Linked DNA regions of Diceros bicornis minor. The protein of the gene in region 1 interacts with the protein of each later gene in a biochemical or structural test. Links are inferred from orthologs where the notes say so. Each region holds a gene or a part of one and is shown on either strand. Other genes may lie near its edges.

Region 1 (11,159 bases):
GTGGGACGCGGCCTTAGCGTGGCCGGAGAAGCAGTGCGTCAGTGCGCGCCCGGGATCGGAACCCGGGCCGCCAGCGTCAGAGCGCATGCACTTAACCGCCAAGCCACGGGGCCGGCCCAAGCAATTGGTTCTTACCACCCCTTGTTGCTCCCTCGTCTTTATCTTCCAGCCAAAGATCATCTGGCTAAAGAACAAGATTGATATCCAAGACAACCCCAAGTACGGAGCCCTCACTCACCTGGGAATCTGCTCCCTAGAAATCCGCAAGCCTGGTCCCTTTGACGGGGGTATCTACACCTGCAAGGCCGTTAACCCCCTGGGGGAGGCATCCGTGGACTGTCGGGTGGATGTGAAAGGTAAGGGCAGAACTTACGCCTTAGGGTGCAATCATGTCTCTCCATAGCTGGAAAAGTTGGGGCAGAGACACAGCCTAGATGGAGAAGGGCTTGGTTTGCTTCCCCTTCAGGCCCTCTCATTGCTGTCATCATTGCGATGTGTTTGGGGAGCCGTTTTGTTATCCACCATCTCATGTCTCTCCATCATAATTCTGTAATATAGGACGAATTGCTATTTCCATTTTGCAAAGGGGAAACCTGAGGCACAGGGAGGTGATTGGTTTACCCAAGATTTCCAGTGTTGGTTAACTGAGGAGTTGGCACTATGGCAGAGAGAGCTCATGTCTCCTGGGCCTCACCCAGATCATTTTTCTATAAAATATACAGTCTTCTGATTCAGTCTCCTCTGGGAGACTTTCCCCTCTGGTTTGTTAAAAGGGAATATTGTACATCCTTTCTACCTCTTATAAAGTATTCATTCATTTATCCATTCCTTTCACCTTGTTCATAGCTCCATATTGCATTTAGCATATTGTTTTATAATTATTTATTTACTGATCTGTTTCCCCATTAAACTATGAGCACCTTGAGGGCAGGGACAGTCTTATTCGCCTTTGTTCCCCAAGGGTTGAGCGCAGTTTCTGACACACGGTGAACACTCTCTAAGTGTGTGTAGCATGAATCAGGAATGAATGGGCCATTATATGTCCTATTCTTCCCTGTGCGTAGATTCCTAATTAGCACCATGGACCCTCAAAAAACCTAAGAAGTATATCCCTTCCTAACGCTCCAGAAGGTTCCCCAGAGATTTCTGAGACATTAACATTGAGAAATGTCTGAATTCTTGCAGCTCCTCACTGAGGCTCCTGAAGAGGACACGGCAACTCTGAGGAAGATAAGGAAAGAGGGACAGGGGTCTGAATAAATTATTTCATGTTTATGGCTAATGTTGTTGAGCCTGGGACAGATACGCAGTCCTGAGCCTTTCAACCATGCACTCGCTGGTGATCACTTTTCTTTTAACCACTTTTTTTGGTAAGCTAATACGATCATCCACATGGAAGGAATTTACCACAGATAAAGTCTACTTTTGTCACATCTTCTATCTGTCTGTACTCCTCAAGTTGATGATAGGAATTAAACCTAACAGTCCTCTGAAAAAGAGTGACAGCATCTACCTAATTGTAAGAGGGTGCTGTGGGAGGGAGGTGGGCAGGTGCTGTAAGAAAAGGTGTCAGGGGAACAATCAGGAGTGGAAGATGGATGAGGTCGCCTCTACCTCATGGCAGCAGCATGGAAAAGGAGAGAGGAAGCTGCTCCTGTCAATTAAGTGTTTCTACCGCAGTATCATAAGCATGGTGAGAAACAGATTAGTTTGCTTGTTTTTTACTTTGAAGTTTATGGATTCTTTCCCCTCCAAGAGAATAAAACCACCATTCTCATTACATGTCAATAATAATTGAACATGTGGGTATGTGGTCCCAAGCAGCACATTATTGGCAAAGGCAACTCAGATCATCATTTAGAATTTGATAACTTCTTCAGATTCTAAATCATTCACAGTAGAAATGTTGTGTACAAACTGATGAGGTGCAAAAGAAGCTCGTGAGAGAATTAAAGAGAACTGGCTCCCAATGTCTCCTCTGACCTGCAGCTCCTGGCTGATGAAAACTGAAAATGAATTCCATCCCAGAAGCCATTTATTTAAGCCTATCATTGATATATAGCAAATGAAAACTGTAAGGGATGCATTAGAAGTACAGACTTAGGAGAGCTCTCTCTGCCAGTTGGCTTGCAAAGCCAGCTCTCTCGCCATCCCTCCATTCCCTCCATGTTAACGTTAATGTTGTGTTGTGTTGGTGTTAGCCTTGTTAGTGTTAGTTGCCCTTTGACCTCTCTCCCAGCCAGTGCCCAGCAAGGAAGCAGGGTAAGTAGAGAATTCAGAGGACAGGACCCAGGGACCGTGAAGAGGGATTGCCCCAGCATCCCGGGTGTGCTCTGGCTGTGTGCTGTAATGGCCACCACATATCCTCTCTTTTCTGTGCCTTCAGGAAGCCTGACTGTGGCGAGACTGTATTCTTAAGGAGCTCCAGCACAGTGTCTGGTTTGGATGAATCTAAATAAATATGTGAATCCTCAGTGCCTAAGTGTCCATCTGTCTGAGCCTTTCTATATGGGAAAACCATTTAGAAAGTTAGAATCCTTTAGCCAGACTGTATGGGATCTGCAGACCCTCAGACTCCTCTTTCTCTTCCCATATCCACACTCTCTTCCACAAAGGTTTCTAACACTGTCCTTTTCTCTAAACAGTCTATGACAGAGCTGAGTTCAACTCTGTACAGTACCAGGCACTGAAAGAGATGCTGAAGATCACTTGCTCTCTTTCTTTGTGCTCTTTCCAGAATAAGTTGGAAAACAGGGTGCACATCCATCACAGAGATGTAGACAGCAGGACACATAAATACGTACATAGCTAATTAAAGACAGAGCACTAAGACTTGAGGGCTAGGAGATACTGAAGAAATTGGAGCAGAGTCTCATTAAGCCCTGGGGAAAGAATAAAGACGAGGGGCCCTTGCTTATATGTTTTCATTCTTAGAGCAAATAAGATATGGAAGGTATTCTGTGATAGAACCTGCAAAAGATAGCAATAATTCTTCCCATCCTAGTATGGGCATGGTATTCTTCCCGTCAAGATTTGGAGTCTATTTCTCCTACCCTCTAATCTGGGCTGCCCACGTGACCTGCCTTGACCAAAAGAATGTAGTGGAGGTGATGCTTTGCCAGTTCTGGGCCTAGACCTTAAGAGGTCTAGTAGTTTCTGCTTTTGCTTTTGGAAGTCAGCTCCCATGTAAAGAATCTCAGGATAGATTACTGAATTACGAGAGGCCACATGGAGGACAACCAAGCATCCCAGCTGACAGCCAGCACCACAGCCCTAGACATGTGTGGCCGCCTTGGACCCTTCAGCCCCAGTCAAGCCCAATCTACTCCTTGTGGAGTAGAGACAGGTTGTCCTTGCATAGCCCTGCCCAAACTGTAAAACCATGAGCACATGAATGGCTACTGTTGTTTCAAGTCACTAAATATTGGTATGGTCTGTTACACAGTAATATGTAACTGAAACAGCCTTCTATGCATCAGGCATTGACCATTAGGCTTTATCTCTTTTAATCTTCATTTTACAAATGAGGATGCTGAAGCTTATAAATTGCTCCAAGTCATGCAGCTGGGAAGTAGCAGAGCTAGAATTTGAACTAGGTCTATGTGACTTCGAGCCTTCCCTATTTCCTCTCATCTCTTTCACCCAGTGACCCCCACTGTAGCGGGTCTGGGTTGGAACCATGGGTTTAAGAAAGAAAAGATTTCTAAGAGGCAGTAAATATTAGGCAAGTTTTGGAGGAGGAAGGGGATGTGTTTTGGCTAAGAAGAGTGTAAAAGGCTTTTCTGTTCAGACCAAAGGTCTATTTTCAGTTGAGGCAAAGCATCTATTCTAGCCTTTCTCAACTGGAGTTCTATGAGAATTAAGCCCCAATGCCCCAATGCATCCACTGTATGTCAAATTCACTTCTTCCTCTGCATCTAGAATGTTACTAGTTATGTGCCATCCTTGGGAAAATTGAGAAAACAGTCACACAAATCTTTTGTAGGCTCTAATGCACTTGTGGAACCCCTGCTGAGAATGTTGGCGAGGCAGAGTCCAGAGTGAGCCAGTCATGTACATAACGGCCAGAAGGCCTCCTTCCAGCTGAAGCAGGGCCCAGGTCAGGAAGGAGTGAAATACTCCCAGCTTTGATGCCCTAAGGATCAGTTAGACCTTGGGCCTCAGCCCACAGCCTCTGCTGTTTGTTGAAGTACTCAAGGGCCATGCCTTAAAGTTCATATATTCTCAACCTTCATGGTGAAGGAATAAAATTTTCTTCACACTGACCAAGACCTCCAGTCACAGCTAATCTTTCTGCATTCAAGGAGAACTACACTAGAATCCTTAATTTTTTCATTTATGCACTCAACACTACGGAGTACCTTCTGAACTAAGGCCTACCATGTGCCTAAGGGGGTGTCATTTCTTCATTATTTATCCAAAATCTTAAAACACCTATTCACATGTACCATTTGAGGTTGAGCTGAGGAGGAGAAATATTTCCCAGATTAGTGGCTTTATACAGAGTGGAGAATTCTTGCTCCTGAAATCTACATTTTCTGGCTTTGTTGTCATTCTCATAGAGGAGAAAGTAGTTTCACTGCTTTTTTTCTGCTACCGCAACAGCTTTCAAAATCATAATTTGGTGACAGAAAATTGGAGATGAGTTTCCCTAGGAGAAACTAACTTTCAATTAGCTAAAACTGCCTCCCCTACTCATCTGAAGGTGGGTGAAGACATAAATGCAGACTTTCCCTACTCAGGCTGCTCCTGGGGGAAGAAGGAATGCAGTTAATTAACAGCGTCTCTCCTCTGATCTCACTTTGCCTGCTACCTGTGTGGAGAGAGGGAAGCTACTGGCTCTGGTTTTCTTACCTCCATGGAACCTGAATCCTACAAGCAACTAAAATTCCACCTTCACCAGCAAGCCTAGGGAAAAAGAGGAAACCTTCTTCTCTCAGCTCTTCCTCACATAAGCTTACAAGTTCCGGGTCTCCCCATCCTTTCCCTTATCATCCCACTAAATTCCAAGGATCCTGTGCTTCCTGTGGCATTACAATAACATCTCACTCCTGCAAACCTCACCACCTCCACTTTACCGCTAAAAGCTAGGAAGTAAATGAAAAAGCCTTTAAGTGGCCAAAATAATGGTCATAAACTCTGGAGACTAAAGCTCAGGTTCTTTGTTTACAAGAAAGCTCTTCAGCCATTCTTTTCCGGCCTTTTAAAATTTTTAGAACATCTCTGTTAACTGGTGGCCCAGCCTATTCACAGGCAACACTTGGAAACAACAGAGAGAAAAATCCCTAATGATTGTAGCCTTAAGCATTTTACAAACATAGCTTTTGGTCTAGAGGTAGCAAGTTACAAACACCCCCTCAAAAGCCGCTAAGGCACACGGTAGAAAACTTAATGTTCATACTTATCCTCCTAACCACGTAACTGTCAAGGTCAAGATGCTCACTTCATAGATGAGCGAGGGGTCAAATACAGGTGCAGAGAGGTCAAGTATCCTGAAACTCTCCTAGCTTGCAAACAGAGGAGTCACGGTTAGAATTGAACCCAAATCTGTCTGTCTGAAAATTCCGTTGTTTTCTTTACACCTTGGCTGCCTCACGTTCCGAATGTTCTTGCTTAAAAAGCCAACAGAAGATATACTTCTTAGAGAATCTCAATATACTTAAAACATAAATGTTTAGGTGCTTCCGTAACTTGGAAAAACCACAACTGAGCAAATTTGGCAAACGCGGCGCTTGCAGGCGGAACAATCTTCCTCAGGCACAGCGTTAGGATTGGCGCCGACGGCCAGGAGGGGCGTCAGGCAACCACGCCGGTCCCCAGGACCGCGCAGGTCCGGCAAAACCCGGCTCGACCAAGCAGGAGACGGAGAGGGGGAGGAGACGGGCGGGTGGGGGGCAGGGCGCGAAACCCAAGCTCATTGGCCCGTTCCCTCGCGCACCGCCTCGAGGCCCCGCCCCTCCCAGGCCCGACTCCGCTCGGCTCCCCTCTTGGGAGCCAAAGGAAGGTCTCCCGGGCACGCGCGCGCTCGCGGCCCCGGGGTTTCAGCCCTCTGCATTGAGTCTCTCTTGGAACCGCTCTCCACACGGCCCCCACCTGCAGACTTCCGGCCAGCTGCCCGCCGCCGCCCCGCCCCCCAAGGGCGGGGGATGCTGGGATCCGCCAATCACTGAGCGCGTGTGATGGGAGTGGGTGGGGCCTGAGAGATTCGAAAGGAGCCCCGCCCCTCGGAGCTGATTCCCTGGACTAGGTTGTGGGAGGAAAGCAGCTTCCGCGCAAGGTGTGGCGGCGCGAAAAGTCAGAACTGAGGGTGGGTTGAAGGTGTGGTCCGTGGGTGTGGTGCCGTGGGGAGTGGCGAGGTGGATGGGGGGAGGCAGAACCCGGAGATTGGTGGCGGGAAGAAGGTGGGGCGCGCCTCCAGTGAGGAGAGGCCGGGTCGCTGAGGGGCGCAGTCTGCGGAGGGCGATGGGGGTGGAGGAGGAGCTCTCCGCACCCTCCCCGGAGGTAACAGGGGTAGTTACAGGGGCAGGTGCCACTCCTGGGACGCTTGCTTTACCTCCAGCATGACCTCCAACCCCTGGTTTGCACCCTGAGTCTAGCTGGGAGCCTTGGGCAGGATGGAGACCAGAGGAATGGTGTGTTTTCTCTCCAGCTCAGGTCTAAGCTGACTCTTGCTTCTGCTGGCAGGAACATGGGAGATTTGGAGGAAGGTAAGGAAACCCTGGAGGGCAGAATGAGACCCTGCGATTGAGAGCCGTGTTAGGGCCCCGAGTCTGGCAGTCATTCTTTCCTCCCCTACAGATGTAAAGTTTATAGTGGATGAGACCTTGGACTTTGGAGGGCTGTCACCATCTGACAGGTACTAGCCTCTTTATCCTACTTACTCTCCTCCAACAAGGCCTCTCTGACCCCTTACTGCTGAATTACTGGCCTCTGGAGCCTGGGTTGGTAATTTAGCAAGGTTGGGTGCACTGGGGCTGCTGGGTTTGACTGGGGTTGACTTGGGTTTCTATGACACTAATGGGGGAACGAGAAGGGATAAGCTGGAGGGAGACTACAGGGTGTTAGGGAGAAGGGTAAGTGGATTTGCTGTGTCTTCATCCTTGCGTAATTTCCAATGTCACTAAATGCTGAAGGCTTATTAGGCCTCATAGAACCAGGTGTCTCATCACCTAGAAGCCGGATCTCACACCCAGCATGGGGATCAGGGTTTAGGGGTGTGTCCCTGGCTCTGTTGTGCGGGTTTTGCCCAGTCTCCTGCTCTCTAACGCGTGGGCATGGTGCCTGGTTTTTCTGTCTCAGTCGTGAAGAGGAAGACATAGCAGTGTCGGTGACTCCGGAGAAACCCTTCCGACGAGGCCTCTCCCACCGAAGTGACCCAAATGCAGTGGGCCCTGCCTCCCAGGGTCTGAGGTTCAGCTTAGGCCCCCTCAGCCCAGAGAAGCTGGAGGAGATCCTTGATGAAGCCAACCGGCTGGCAGCTCAGCTGGAGCAGTGTGCCTTGCAGGAGCGGGAGATCACAGGCCAGGGCCTGGGGCCTCGCAGGATGAAGCCCAGCCCTCGGCGGGAGACCTTTGTGCTGAAGGACAGTCCTGTCCGGGACCTGCTGCCCACTGTGAGCTCTTTGGCTCGGAGCACCCCCTCCCCAAGCAGCCTGCCACCTCGACTCCGGAGCAGTGATAGGAAGGGGTCAGTCAGGGCTCTTCGAGCAACATCTGGAAAGAGGCCCTCCAGCGTGAAGAAGGTGAATTTAGAGGGTCTGTGTGTCCCCAGACACACTGCGTGACTCGGTACAGGCATAGAGTGGTTTCCTCGTTGGTAAAATGGGAATAGTAAATTCTCCCTTATAGAATTGTTGGAATTAAATGAGATACCACAAGCAAAGCACTTACTGTAGTGTCCGTGCATAGCTCCAGAATGCCTAAAATAAGCTCTCAATAAATGGTATTGGTGATGATGATGGTGTTAGCAGCTAACTTCTGCTCTTCCTTACTGGGATCTAGGCCACTCTCCACCTCTATCCCTTAGTCACCCAGCAGAACAGATTCTTTTTCCATTCTAGTCCTTTTTTTCTCTCTTTGTGTTTCAGGAGTCGCCCACGTGCAATCTGTTCCCCGCAGCCAAAAGCCCGGCATCTTCTCCTCTTGCCCGATCAACTCCTCCAGGCCGGGGAAAAGCTGGGCCCAGTGGGAGAGCAATAGCAAGTGAGAAGACCTGGGCAGCAAGGCTATGGGTGAACGGGAGTAGGGAGGATGTGGAGCTTACCCTAAAATTCCTCTGCTCCTCTCCACCAGGCCCGCCTACCCCTGTCAGACCAGTCTTGGCCCCACAGCCTTCTACCAGCAACTCTCAGCGCCTGTCTCGGCCACAGGGAGCAGCTGCTAAACCTTCCAGTCGGCTGCCTGTTCCCTCTGCCATCCCCAGGCCTGCCAGCCGAATGCCACTCACCAGCCGGAGTGTACCACCCAGCAAAGGTGCCCTACCTCCAGATTCTCAGTCAACTCGGAAAGGACTTCCAAGACCCAGTGCTGCAGGGCACAGAGGTGAGGAAGAATGGACATCAGGGTAAGAAGTCAGGAGGAAGAAGACCTACTGTTGCCCAGCTTGACTGCACCCTCCCAGAGCTGGTCACAGTGACCACCTCCATCTCCATTATAACTCTGTAGAAGATGGGGAGACTGAGTTTAGGAGAGGATGTGGGCCTGGGCAAAGAGTTTGAGCCTTGCATTTCAAATACCTTCTGTTTTTTACCTTGGGTGAGAGGAAAGGCACTAATCCCAAACTCACTGTGCCTTCTGTTTCTTTTTGAGAAGGTCACTTGAACTTTCTGCTAACGCATTTCTTTTGTTAACCCCCATCAAGTTCCTGTTTCCCAGCGACCAAATCTTCCCCTCACTGGTGCCACTCACAGCAATCTGCAGCCCCCCAAGAAAGTTGCAGACCCAGGACCTACCAGGTAAGACTGGTTGAGATGCTTTCTCTCTCTCCTCTGCCATCTGGGCTTCTGAGCTGTTATGCACATCAGCCCTGAATCCTGTGTGGCAAGATAAGGGTGAGGAGGGGAGCCTGTAGGGGTGGGGAAGCCCATTTCTTCCTACCCTGAGGATCTCGAACTCAGCTGGGTGAGGAAGAAGGGCAATTTAAGGCAGTTCCTCCTTCTGTCTCTTTAGGTAGAGAGATCAGGACAGCAAGCAAGAATTCAGTAGCAAACCACTACAGTCACTGCCTGGACTCACCTCTCCTGGGCCTCCCCAGTCCTCCCGTTGGAGGCAGGCCCTGACTTCAGCAGATTCTGGCCCAGGGGCAGGAGGAAGAGATGCCACCAGGGCTAGTGCCCAGGAGTAGAGACCGTGGGAGATGGGATAGATCAGGAGTGAGCTGGGGGAAAATCAAACTCTCTGGATTGAAAGAAGATTAGGGAAAAAAGAGGTCGCCTCCCAGTAGTGAAATTAACAAACAAAAAATGAGAAATGCAGGAGAGTGGATTGTCCTCATCCACCCCCACTCTTGTGTTCAGCTGCAGAGAGTTTGATCTTCTTCCCAGGCATTGGTTCACTGGACGTTTACATGTGAATGGTCTCTGTGGCTAACCTCCCTGCTCTCTGAGGAGGGGTCCTCCTGAGTCACATCCTCTACTGGACTCGGGCCTGTTTGGAGAAGCAGAGGCAGGCATCTGGTTTCCAGAACTTGTTTCCTGTAAATTCTGTGACTCCTAACAGGCCAGTTTATGATAAGCTTACTCCATCAGTCTGCATTTTTCTAAAATAAAATGAATGTATTTTTATATTCTCTGTACTTGTGAAAGTAGATCCTGCTCCAATTTCTAACAAATTTGGAGTAAACTCCTGTGTAATTCCAATGAGGTAACCAGGCTGTGTTGTGTAGGCAGGGGCCTGAATAGGCGCTGGGGCCTTGAGATTCCAGCTTGTCAGGTTGTGATTACCCCCCTTGTCAGCATTAGATGGGAACAGGCTGCCCTTTCCCAGGATTCCTGTTATTAGAAGGTCCAGATCAAGTTAAGGTATACCTTAACCCCCTCCTACACCCACCTTATACTTAATGAATGAAATTCTCAGCCACATACAAGTCACAACACTAGGCACTGCAGAGGTTTATAAACCCTGGTGCCAGCTCTCAAATCTAGTGAGGGAGATAAGAGGAGAACACTGATGTGTTCTAATGCTGTAAGGCAGAATGCGATGAGGCGTTCTGGCATCTTCTGCCTAAGGCAATCAGAAAAGCTGAGTACCAGGATACCCACCAAAGGGCCCCCTGATCCCAAAGTACAGCAGATAAGAAGCTGAGGAGTTCCCAGGAGGCTCCATTCTCTTGCCAGGAAAGGACACCCAAGTTTAGGATATGAATAGTAATTTATAATAATAATAATGATAATGATAATAATCCTGGCTTGACACCTCACATGTATGTGGCTGAGAATTTCATTCATTTATTGAAAAAAATATTTGAGTGCAAGATGGTGGGTACTGAATGAATGACAAAGACTCATTTAACAGATTTAACTATGAGTCCCTTTTCTCACAGCCTTTGATTCTTGCAACCAAAACCAACTCAATTCCTTATGAGTTTTGAGAGAACTTTCCTCCTTGAAAGCCAGGCCATGACTTAAGGAAGCCAGTAGGCAGCTAGGCAAAGGGAGTGGAGTGCCAGCTGGTGTCCCTGCCGCCACACCTCTATGGCCATAAGAACCCTACTTAGGCACTGAAATGCCCTTCCCCAGTACCTGGGGCCAGAGGCCCTCCACTGCTTTCTTTTCCTTTTTATGGCTGATGTTAAGGTTCACTTAACACATTCATCTCTATCACAGTGACATTCACCTTTCCCTGAGCCTCTTACAGAAACTCCTGCAGCCTCTGGGATTCCAAGAATTGAGCTGGGGAGGGGGTGTGGAGACAAACACTGAGTATTTGGCCCTGGAGACATTTGGCAGAGGCAAGAAAACCTCAGGTGTGTTTCCCAGCTGCATCCTGCACGTATGTCTAGTGAGCAGAGCCTGCTGGTGACCACCACTCTGACAGAAGCATTGGAAGGTCTGCAAGCCTAGGAACACACTTCGGTGTGGCCTGGGTGGGTCCTTAGAGGCAAAACAAGCAGCAGACCCAAGTGCTGTTGCCACCTGGTGGCCAGAGAGGACAAAGCATGTT
Region 2 (10,389 bases), on another chromosome or scaffold:
GACACTTAGGCTGTTTCCCTATCTTGGCTATTGTAAATAATGCTGCAATGCCAGATTCTTGACAAAGACTGTAGTAGGCATCAGCTAACAGATACTGAGCCTCTAAAACAGGGGTAGGGTGCAGTCTCAAAGATGGGAAACAATGCAAAAGCAAGAGGTCACATTCATCTCAACAACCTGACAACTTGATTAGCGTCATCCTAGTTCACCTTTAATTGGCCCAAATGCAGGAATCAGCAAATGAGGTGCTGCTAGATAAATTCATTAAGAGCATGTACTGGTTTTAGATGAGTAATGAAGTAGTCTTGTTCTCAGAAGCCTAGAGTAATACAGGGACGGCAGCGTTTAACATAAACCCGATCAACAGAAAATACCCACACATATCTTTCCCAGATGGCTCTACCAAAATGACTGCTCCAAAGGCAAACTATTTTTACACAGTACAGATTGATGCTGGACATTAGAATCATAGTGTTTAAGTACCAGAAAAAACCTCAGAGATGATCTAGACCACTGGTTTGCAGTCTAGCTTCAGAATCTCCAAGACAGCTTGACAGAATATGATGGCGGGGTCCACCTCCAGAGATTTTGATTCAGTGGATCTGGGCAGGGCCCAAGAATTGGACTGGGGACTATTCTTTAATGACCACTGACCAATCTACTCGATTTTCCTGATAAGGAATATAAGCTCATTAGGTTTACATTATATTGTGCTAATGCTAAGCATTTTTTTTTAATGGAAAATCTCCAGGGTAGCAATATAAAAAACAAAACTTCTCTACCCTTAGTTGCTAAAATATGGTTCTACATTTTAAGCGGTGCTTCAGAATGAAATGTTTCTTTACTCAGTCTCTTTTACCAATCTATGCCCCTTTCCCTCCTCCTCCTGCCCCCCACCAAAAAAACCTTCCACCAGTGGCAGGGTAGAGTTTGGGGAATGTCTATAGATATGACAACAGCACCACCTATTTTACTGAACTCCTGAATTCAGAATACTGTACCAAAGAGACAAACTTGATTTTCGGTTGATAAAGTAAGGTTACCTAACCTACCTCAGCAAAGTAGCACACACTCAAAGATTTGCAAAAAGTACAGAGTTTATATGATGAAGACTTTTCTACAATTCAAGCAGGAGGATGCCAATACTCCTTTATTTAGTCACCTCAAAGGTTCCTTCTTGACTCTGGACCTTGATACAATGCTGTTCCCTCCACTTAGAAAGCTTTTGTTTTCAGCTTAAATATGACTTTCTGAGACAACAAACTGCACAACATTAGAAGAAATGGATAAATTCCTAGAAACATACAAGCTACCAAGACTAAATCAGGAAGAAATAGAAAATCTGAACAGACTGATTAGTAGTAAGGAGACTATTCAGTAATTAAAAACCTCGCAATGAACAAAGGTCCAAGATCAGATGGCTTCACTGGTGAATTCAACCAAACATTTAAAGAAGAATTAACACGCCTTCTCAAACTCTTCCAAAAAACAGAAAAGGAGGGAACATTTCCAAACTCATTTTATAAGGCCAGCATTACCCTGATACCAAAACCAGACAAGGACATCACAAGAAAAGATACTTACAGGCCAATATCACTGATGAACATAGATATAAAAATCCTCAACAAAATATTAGCAAACTGAGTTCAATAATACATTAAAAGAATCATATACCAATCAAGTGGGATTTATTCCATGGTTGCAAGGATGGTTCAACACCTGCAAACCAATCAATGTCATACAATACATTAACAAAATAAATGATAAAAATCATATGATCATCTCAATAGATGCAGAAAAAGCATCTGAAAAAATTCAACATCCATCTAGGATAAAACACTCTTAACAAAGAGGGTATAGAGGGAACGTGTCTTAACATAATAAAGGCCATATACAACAAGCACACAGCTAACATCAACTGTGAATGGTAAAAGGCTGAAAGCTTTTCCTCTAAGATCAGGAACAAGACAAGAATGCCCACTCTTGCCACTTTTATTCATTATAGTGTTGGAAGTCCTAGCCAGAGCAATTAGTCAAGGAAAATAAACAAAAGGCTTCCATATTGGAAAGGAAGAAGTAAAACCGTCACTATTTGCAGATGACATGACATCATATATAGAAAACCCTAAAGATTCCACCACAAAATTATTAGAACCAATAAATGAATTCAGTAAAGTTACAGGAAACAAATTCAATATACAAAAATCTGTTGCATTTCTATCCACTAATAATGAACTATCAAAAAGAAAAATTAAAAAAAAAAATCCCATTTAAAACTGCATCAAAAAGAATAAAATACCTAGGAAAAAATTTAACCAAGGAGGTGAAAGACCTGTACACTGAAAACTATAAGACACTGATGAAAGACACTGAAGACAACACATGTAAATGGAAGGATATTCTGTGCTCATAGATTGGAAGAACTAATATTGTTAAAATGTGCATATTACCCAAAGCAATCTACGAATTCAACGCAATCCCTATCAAAATTCCAATGGCATTTTTCATAGACATAGAACAAACAACCCTAAAATTTGTATGGAACCATAAAAGACTCCAAATAGCCAAAGCAATCTTGAAAACAGAAGAACAAAGCTAGAGGAATCAGGCTTCCTGATTTCAAACTATATTACAAAGCTATAGTAATCAGAACAGTATGGTATTAGCATAAACACAGGCACATGGATCAATAGAACCAGAATAGAGAACCCAGAAATAAATCCATGCATATATGGTCAATTAATTTGCAACAAAGGAGCCAAGAATATACAATGGGGAAAGGACAGTCTCTTTAATAAATGGTGCAGGGAAAACTGGATAGCCACACGTAAAAGAATGAAACTGGACCACTATTTTACACCATACACAAAAATTCACTCAAAATGGATTAAAGACTTGAACTATAAAACTCCTAGAAGAAAACATAAGTGGAAAGTTCCTTGACATCATCTTGATGATGATTTTTTGGATTTGACACCAAAAGCAAAGGCAACAAAAGCAAAAAAAACAAGTGGGACCACATCAAACTAAAAAGCTTCTGCACAGCAAAGGAAACCATCAACAAAATGAAAAGGTAACCTACTGAATGGGAGAAAATATTTGCAAATCATATATTTGAGAAGCAGTTAATATCCAAAAAACATTAAAAAATACAACTTAATAGCAAAAAAACAAACATTCTGATTAAAAAACGGGCAGAGAATCTGAATAGACATTTTCTAAATAAGATATACAGATGGGCAACAGGCACATGAAAAAGTGCTCAACATCACTAATCACCAGGGAAATGCAAATCAAAACCACAATGAGATATCACCTCAGACCTGTTAGAATGGCTATTATCAAAAATATAAGCAACGACAAGTGCTGGCAAGGATATGGAGAAAAGCGAACCTTTGTGCACTGTTGGTGGGAATGTAAATTGGTGCAGCCACTATGGAAAACAGTATGGAGGTTCCCCCCAAAACTACAAATAGAACTACCATATGATCCAGTAATCCCACTTCTGGGTATATATCTGAAGAAAACAAGAACAATAACTGAAAAATCTCTCCACTTTTCCTTAGGATAAAGCCCAAACCCCTGAACATGGCTTAGCAGGCCCTTCAAGATGTGACTCTTCTCACCTCTGTGACCTACAAACTAAGCTCCAAGCCTTCTCTGAGGTCCTCAGAAACTCTGTGCCCTTTAAGGATTCCCAAGCTTCGCTTAGTCCATTCTTTCTGACTAAATCACATTCAGCCTTCTCTCCCCAACTCTCAACCTTCAACATGGAAACCTCCAGTCTGGGGGGAACCTTCCACATATCCAAGTCAGGAATAGAGGGCCCTGCCAAGTGCTCCCTCAGCCTATACCACAGTATTTATCTCACTGCATCGTCTATAACTATTTTCTAATTTGGTTCCCCCACACTTGACTAGGAGCTCCCTTGGTCAGGCCGGAGTCCCGTTTGCCTACATAAGCCAACAGGTAGCTCATGTGGAAGGCACCAAAATGAGTATTCTTGAACAAATGAATGATGGTGTAAAAGAAAATATCAGGGGGCAAATTGAAAGCATCTGCAGTGAATCCATCTGCCACAAAACTTCTTAATATATTTTGCTACATAAAAGCAGTTGATATATTGAAATACTTCCTTTACATAAACAGGTAGGCCTTTCTTCGAAGACATCGGTGGTAGTCAAATATGACTTAGTTTAAAATAATATCAACTCCTGCCTAGACAACAATAGCCTTCCACATTTGCAGCAAACCCCACTCCCAGCTACAGTCTTCTCCACTGAGCAGCCAGTGATCTTTTCAAAACACAAATAAGATACTATAACTTCCCAAGCATGGCCTACAAGGTCCAGCCTGTCCCACACCCCAACCTCATTACCAATCACTCTTCCTCTTACTCTATTAGACTCGCTCGCCTTCTTTCTTGCAGTTCTTGTAAACGGCAAACGTTATTCCAGCATCATAGGGTTTGCACTTTTCTCTCTGTCTACAAAATTCTACCCCCCAGCTCTTGGTATGGCTCCTCTTCATTCAGATCGTTTGCTCAAATGTCATTTCCTCAGAGACCTTTCCTGACTATCTATAATATCCACCACGTCCTAGTCGAACTCGATTCTATTATTTCTTTATTTTCTTTATATAACCTATCCCTATCTGATAATTTTATGAAAGCTCCACGAGGGCAAGTGATTGCATCTATCTTGTCCACTGTTGTCTCCCTAACAGCTAGAACAGTGCCCGGCCAGTAAACACTTGCTAAATGAATAAATGCACTTAATGAACAGGTCCATCTGGCATATTTTCCACTCTCTTTTCCCCTCCATTCACAGAAATCCGTGAGGGTCGATATCCTTGCAGGAAAGCCCTTGAAATGTCACCGCCATCCCAAAGAGAGTCCTCTCTTCCGCGCTAGGCGAGGCATACCTAGCCTGGTAGCTAACGGGCCTCCGGGACGGAGAGATGAGCCATGGACCTGGCACTCGAGTCAGAAAATCGCTGAGGAGGGGCGGCGACACAAGGCGCCCCTCTCCTCGCTTCCTGAGGACTGCCGCCTCTCCAACCTTAACCCCTTGGACCAGCCTCTCAGTCGGCCAGACACACGCCTCCCCAGTCGCCGAACTCAGCGGCCGCTCCCAGTTACCTGCCAGGGATCTGGCTCCTGCCAGGGATCTGGCTCTAGACACTCAGCCTTCCCACCGCCATTCCAGCGACCACCGGCCCCTGCCCGGCCACCGTAGTTCACGGAGAGTACACGCTAGTCCCTCCCCCCGCATGCGCAGAAGCCCCCTTAGCGTTCACTGTCTCTTAGCAACCGCTTCGAGTCCCTCCGCCAGGGGCGGAGCATCGGAAGCCACAGGGGGGAAGCCGAGGGGAAAGTAAGTAGGGCCAATTGGAGGCGACTCCCAGCCTCGATCGGCACGCCTCCTCTAACTGTCGCGAATGCGCAGGCGGCTTTACGGCAGCCAAGGGGTGGGGGCTGCCTGGGGTAAGGAGGAGAGAAGGAAGCAACCAACCAACCAAGTCGCCCCCGCCCCCCACCCCCACCCACTCCGGACCTGGTTTACGGCTCCGGGCTCAGGCTCCAGTGCGGCCGCTGATTGGCTGCTGAAGGCTTGGTCCCATCCCAGTGACCCCAAAGTGCTGGAGGGAGGGGGCGGGGGTGGCCCAGTGCAAAGTGCATCCCAAAAGCCCCCTGCCTGGAGCCCCTGCGGCTGGCACTTCGAACCCTGTGTGACCCGGGACCTCGCTGTCCCCAGACCTCCCGTGTCCGCCCGTAGCTGGGAGTCTGGCCCGGAGCGCGGCAGCCCCCTGCTCCGAGTCCTCAGACCGGGACTGCCCCCCCCCACCCGAGTCGGGACTTCCTCCCTGCACCCCTGCCCCGAGGCTGCCCCGCGGCCAGGACCGCCGCCCCCCGTCTGCTCGGCTGTCTGGATGCTCGCCGGGCTGGGGCCGTGAGGCACCGAGGAGGATCAGGAACACCCGTGTCCGGCCCTGTCTGGGGTGTTTCTTCAATGGAGAAGTTGGTGAGTGTGGAGGAGGCTGAAAGGAGGAAGAGAAGCAGCAGCTGAGGAGACAGGTAAAGTCACTTACCTCCCCTGAGAGGAAGGGGGCTGGCCGGGAGGGAGGAGAATCACTGCTTCTTCCTGCCTGCCCTTACTACTCTCTTCCTATGCTCCCCGTTCCTCGGAGCCCCCTCCTCCTTGGCCCCAGGGCACTACACCACTCACTAGTTGCTGATTTCCAGGTTTGAGCTGGCTAGAGGAGACGAGAGAGCAGGAAGGGATTTGCCCACCCACCGGAGAAGCAGCAGAGAGCCTCTGACCAGCATCCTCTATAAAGGTAATAAGCCAGTCCTCCCCTCCCCCCTTTGTTTATTCCTGGCCCTTACCTTATTAAGCAGTGCTTTATTTTCAGGGTGATTACCTGGGAATGCAACCTTTTCTTGGCCCCCAGTTTGCCAGTGTAAACAAAAACACTGCCCGTGCTGTAATACTTAACATTTTAGTAACTTCTCTACCCCAGAAGCTGTTTTCCCCCTTCTCTCTGTACAGTGTTTCCGTGTTTTGCGTTATCTTTTGGTACACTGTACCATTTACCCTGCTCTGAGACTTTGAGACCTTTTAGTAGCTCCCCCCCCCCCCCCCCCCCCCGCTTTACTCTCATAGGAATTCCTCAATTCCTTGTTAATTGCTTGTTAATTCTGAATGACTCTGCTTTTTAATTAAACCACAGTTTTCTCTTTTCTTCTTATTCCTTCCTATCACCTTTTCTCTACCTCCATCAGAAAAGCTTTTGCGTTACCTAACTCAAGGGTTTGGTAGAGGAAGGTACAGTAATGGCTTGAAATTTATGAGTTTCGGAAAACAGTGTGACTTTTTTTCTGAGTAAAAAGTGAATCTGTATACTTTAATAATAGGAGAGATATGAAAGCAATACTCGCCCCTGAAGCGCTTATGTATAATTAACTCTTTGGGCTTTTGTGTGTTTCTGTGTGACAGATGTGGAAGGGCCCTGAAACTGTTCTAAAAAGATAAACAATACTTGTTATACCTGATATTTTCTAGGAGAACTTAAAACTTTGCATAATATCTTGTTAATCATTTGACACTCAAGAATTTAAAAACAAAGGCGTATTATGGTGTGTTTAGAATCTAGGGCTTTCTTTTTGCACTCTTCATAAATAATATTTTTCATTTCAAAACGCTTACAGAGAATTTGTTAGATTGAAATTTAGGCATGTAATTCATGTGACCACATTTCTGCTGCTGTATTTTGTTGCTGCCTCTAAAGATGCACTAAAGGTAAGTTCAGGACATTCTTGTAATTCCTAAAGAGGGGATATGATCTGGGAAGTTATATAAGAGTTAATTCAGAAATTAGCCAAGTGAATGACTTTTCTAATATCCAATAACAGGAGTATAAAGTGACTTGCTAATCTCAGTTATTTTAATGTCTCAGATTGTTTAGGGAATTTTAGGTACAAAGAGGTACTTAAAATAGCAGAAGTTGTTAGGAAATCTTTGATTTACTCTGTTCCAGTGGACTTTCTGCCTTCCACAAAAAGAAATTAATGTCTTTCCTGATTCTTCTAATTATCAAGATACTGTTAAAGATGCTTTAAGAGGCTCTGAGGTTTTGCATATTCTTGAGACCTGGAACTGGACACCAAAGGGAGAATGTATGCTGCTGAGTGGGATTTAGAATCAGTATCCACCAATGACTATTCCATGGTGAACATTTTGGGTAGCCTTTGTATGTGTTTATAGGGTGCACTTCATTTCAGTAAGACTTCTGCCTAGAAGTCTATAAAGTTAAAGGCAATTTTCATTATTTAAGTATGTGGGTCACCAGAGAGATGCCTAATGATTTCTTAGGACTTTTTGAAAAATGCTAAAGTATTTGAAGTATGTTTTTAAGGTAAAAATGAATTACATATTTTCTATTCGGGCCTTCTCAATTAAATATTTTTTCTGCTTTAGATTTAACTCTAGCATGTTTTCATTTCCAAGGGGTATTAGCACTAAGAAGGTAAGGGAGTGGGTCTGTGGTGAGTCAAGCATATAAGGTAAAGAGAGGACACTGCTTTCCCCTGGTTTCCAGCCAGCTCCTTCTCATTGCTTAAATAATATTTCATTGATCCTCTCAGCTTTTACTGGTTTTTCTAAGATTAGGGAATATATATAAATTGTCAGCATCTGTTCCTGATATTAGCATGATCGAGAGCATTTGGTCTAGGTTATGGCAAACATTTAAAATATTTAATTTGGGTACTTATTTACCAGCATGGCCAGTTAGGTAGTTTATATTTTTCAACCTGGTAGTTAACTTTCTGTTAATTCTATTGCCAGTCACATGGTTTTGAAAGAAAAAAATCAAAAAACACATAATTTTTTCGATAACCAAATATATATTTATAATCACATAGGGAGAATAACTGATTTTAATTGAAGATATTCAGTGATGTGTCTTGAGTATGTTATGGCCAATACTTATTTTCTTTATACCTAAAGTGATGCCATTCACAATTAGTTACTATTATGACATGTACAGTATCTCTTTATTTTGTTCACATTTAACTTTGGTAACACAGAAGTACATACTATCCCTGAAAAGTCTAAAGTCAGATAAAGTTAGAAGAGCATATCTAGTACCTGACTTTCAGCCTTTCATTTCCTTCTCAACTGAAGGCACTCCCTAAGTAGAATGATTGTCTCCTTTCTTGCAGACTTGCTAGGCACTGACATGAGGCTGCTAAGATAATACTGCCAGACGTGGGTTAATAAGATAGTATTGACAAGACCTCATCATTTATAGTACTTGTGATTTAAGCTTTGAGTTGGGTCACATAAGTGAATTACAAAATTTCCTCTATTGCATCATCCACATTTCATGAAAATTGTTGGTTTTTCTGTTGGAACTCATGAGAGTTATAGACAAGTTGTGCATGATAATAAATCTTTGTTATATGAGGCCCAGTAATTTGGAGGAAATATGAATACCCTCACTTGTTTTGGAACATAAACACTATGCTAACTATGTTGAGTGATACTAAAATAACACTTCTACTTTATTTTGGGTTCCAGGCTCTTGATTATACAAGTAGAGCTCATCAATGTACAGCTCATCCATGTTGCACACTCTGGGCCTTGTAGTGTTTCTGCATCCATCTTCCCTCTTAGGACTTGTGAGCCATTGGTGGTTTGTTTTTTTTTTCTCAGAGCCAATATCCTTGGAGTTGCTGATTTTATTTCCTTACCAGCCTGTATCTCTGTTTATTCTGCAAAGAAATGCTTATTTCTTTTTTTTGAGTAGCAAGCTGTTACCTTGTTTCTAGTTTGTGTGAAATCTGAAAGCACAGTTCTAATTTGTATCACGTAATCAAAAAATGTGTGGTCTTTTAGTGAAAATAATATGCAAAAACTGTTAATGACTAATCATTTATGCCAAAGGAAATTGGGGACATGTGGACAAATTTGGTGAAAGTTATATAATTTTAGACAGGTCTTAAATATATATTTTTTTATAGTTATTCTTCACTCTATTCTATGAATATAGACTTCTTTTAATTATGTGAATCAAGAAGTTTTGGTTTTAACTAAATGAAATTCACTTGGCCTCTATATGGAAATTAAATGCTAACATTTTAATTCCTAAATTTACAGTTTCTACTACAATTAACAGGATTAAAGCTTGGAGGCCTACATTATTTTCTTTTCACCCCATGTAGAGTAGAAAAGATGAATTTGTAAAATTTAAACACACTATTAACATTGGGCGATAAAATCTCATATAAAAATGATATACATTGGGGAAGTGGCTCTTTTTGATACATAATTCTGAAGTCTTCCTTGTTTGTATGTTTTCTTTTTTCTGACTGGGAAACCCAGAATGGAATTTCTAAAGATTGCACCCTCAGAGTTTTAGTAGTTCTGAGTCATTATTAATTTTAAACAACTTAGTTTGTACATATATTTATTTAGAAAATTGCCTCTTTAACCATATTCTTTTATTTTATAAGTGACTTCCATGAGCTATCAGATTTCAAACTTGCCCTCCTTCAGAGGAAATAGACTTTTTTCCATTCTCACCTCTGGACTTTCTCCATGATTTTAAGTAGGCACCTTTACCACTGGATATTGTATTTACTTTTTAAGTTCAATAGTTTTTTTTTTTTCTTTATTTATACATATGTAGATAGCTATACTCTATTAAGTACAAACTCTCATAAAATAACACCGAGATAAAATTAGTTACTTGTCTGATGCTTTGGACTATTAGGGTATTTTGGTAATAAGTTATTGTCCTTCATAATTTAAGGGATACAGCTGACAGGGATCATGTGTGCGTGGTGTATGTGTGTCTGTGTTTTTTCTTGTAAAGGTGGATACA

The links.
Region 2: of the proteins of PSRC1 (region 1) and ASB7, one has a biochemical effect on the other in vitro, tested with the Homo sapiens proteins (2 studies listed by BioGRID, with this or other methods). The link is inferred for Diceros bicornis minor from reciprocal best matches to the Homo sapiens genes PSRC1 and ASB7.

What each region holds. Positions count from the first base shown.
Region 1 is NC_080743.1:42,380,932-42,392,090, reverse strand, and holds the start of PSRC1 (proline/serine-rich coiled-coil protein 1), read left to right. Parts: upstream 1-6,216; 5' UTR 6,217-6,277; intron 6,278-6,649; 5' UTR 6,650-6,688; coding exon 6,689-6,707; intron 6,708-6,798; coding exon 6,799-6,856; intron 6,857-7,299; coding exon 7,300-7,741; intron 7,742-8,086; coding exon 8,087-8,201; intron 8,202-8,291; coding exon 8,292-8,540; intron 8,541-8,859; coding exon 8,860-8,953; coding exon of another isoform or gene 8,954-8,957; intron 8,958-9,167; coding exon of another isoform or gene 9,168-9,203; exon of another isoform or gene 9,204-9,783; intron 9,784-11,159. UniProt on the Homo sapiens protein: Required for normal progression through mitosis. Required for normal congress of chromosomes at the metaphase plate, and for normal rate of chromosomal segregation during anaphase. Plays a role in the regulation of mitotic spindle dynamics.
Region 2 is NC_080744.1:80,993,194-81,003,582, reverse strand, and holds the start of ASB7 (ankyrin repeat and SOCS box protein 7), read left to right. Parts: upstream 1-5,619; 5' UTR 5,620-6,023; exon of another isoform or gene 6,024-6,076; intron 6,077-6,090; exon of another isoform or gene 6,091-6,150; intron 6,151-6,244; 5' UTR 6,245-6,339; intron 6,340-10,389. UniProt on the Homo sapiens protein: Probable substrate-recognition component of a SCF-like ECS (Elongin-Cullin-SOCS-box protein) E3 ubiquitin-protein ligase complex which mediates the ubiquitination and subsequent proteasomal degradation of target proteins.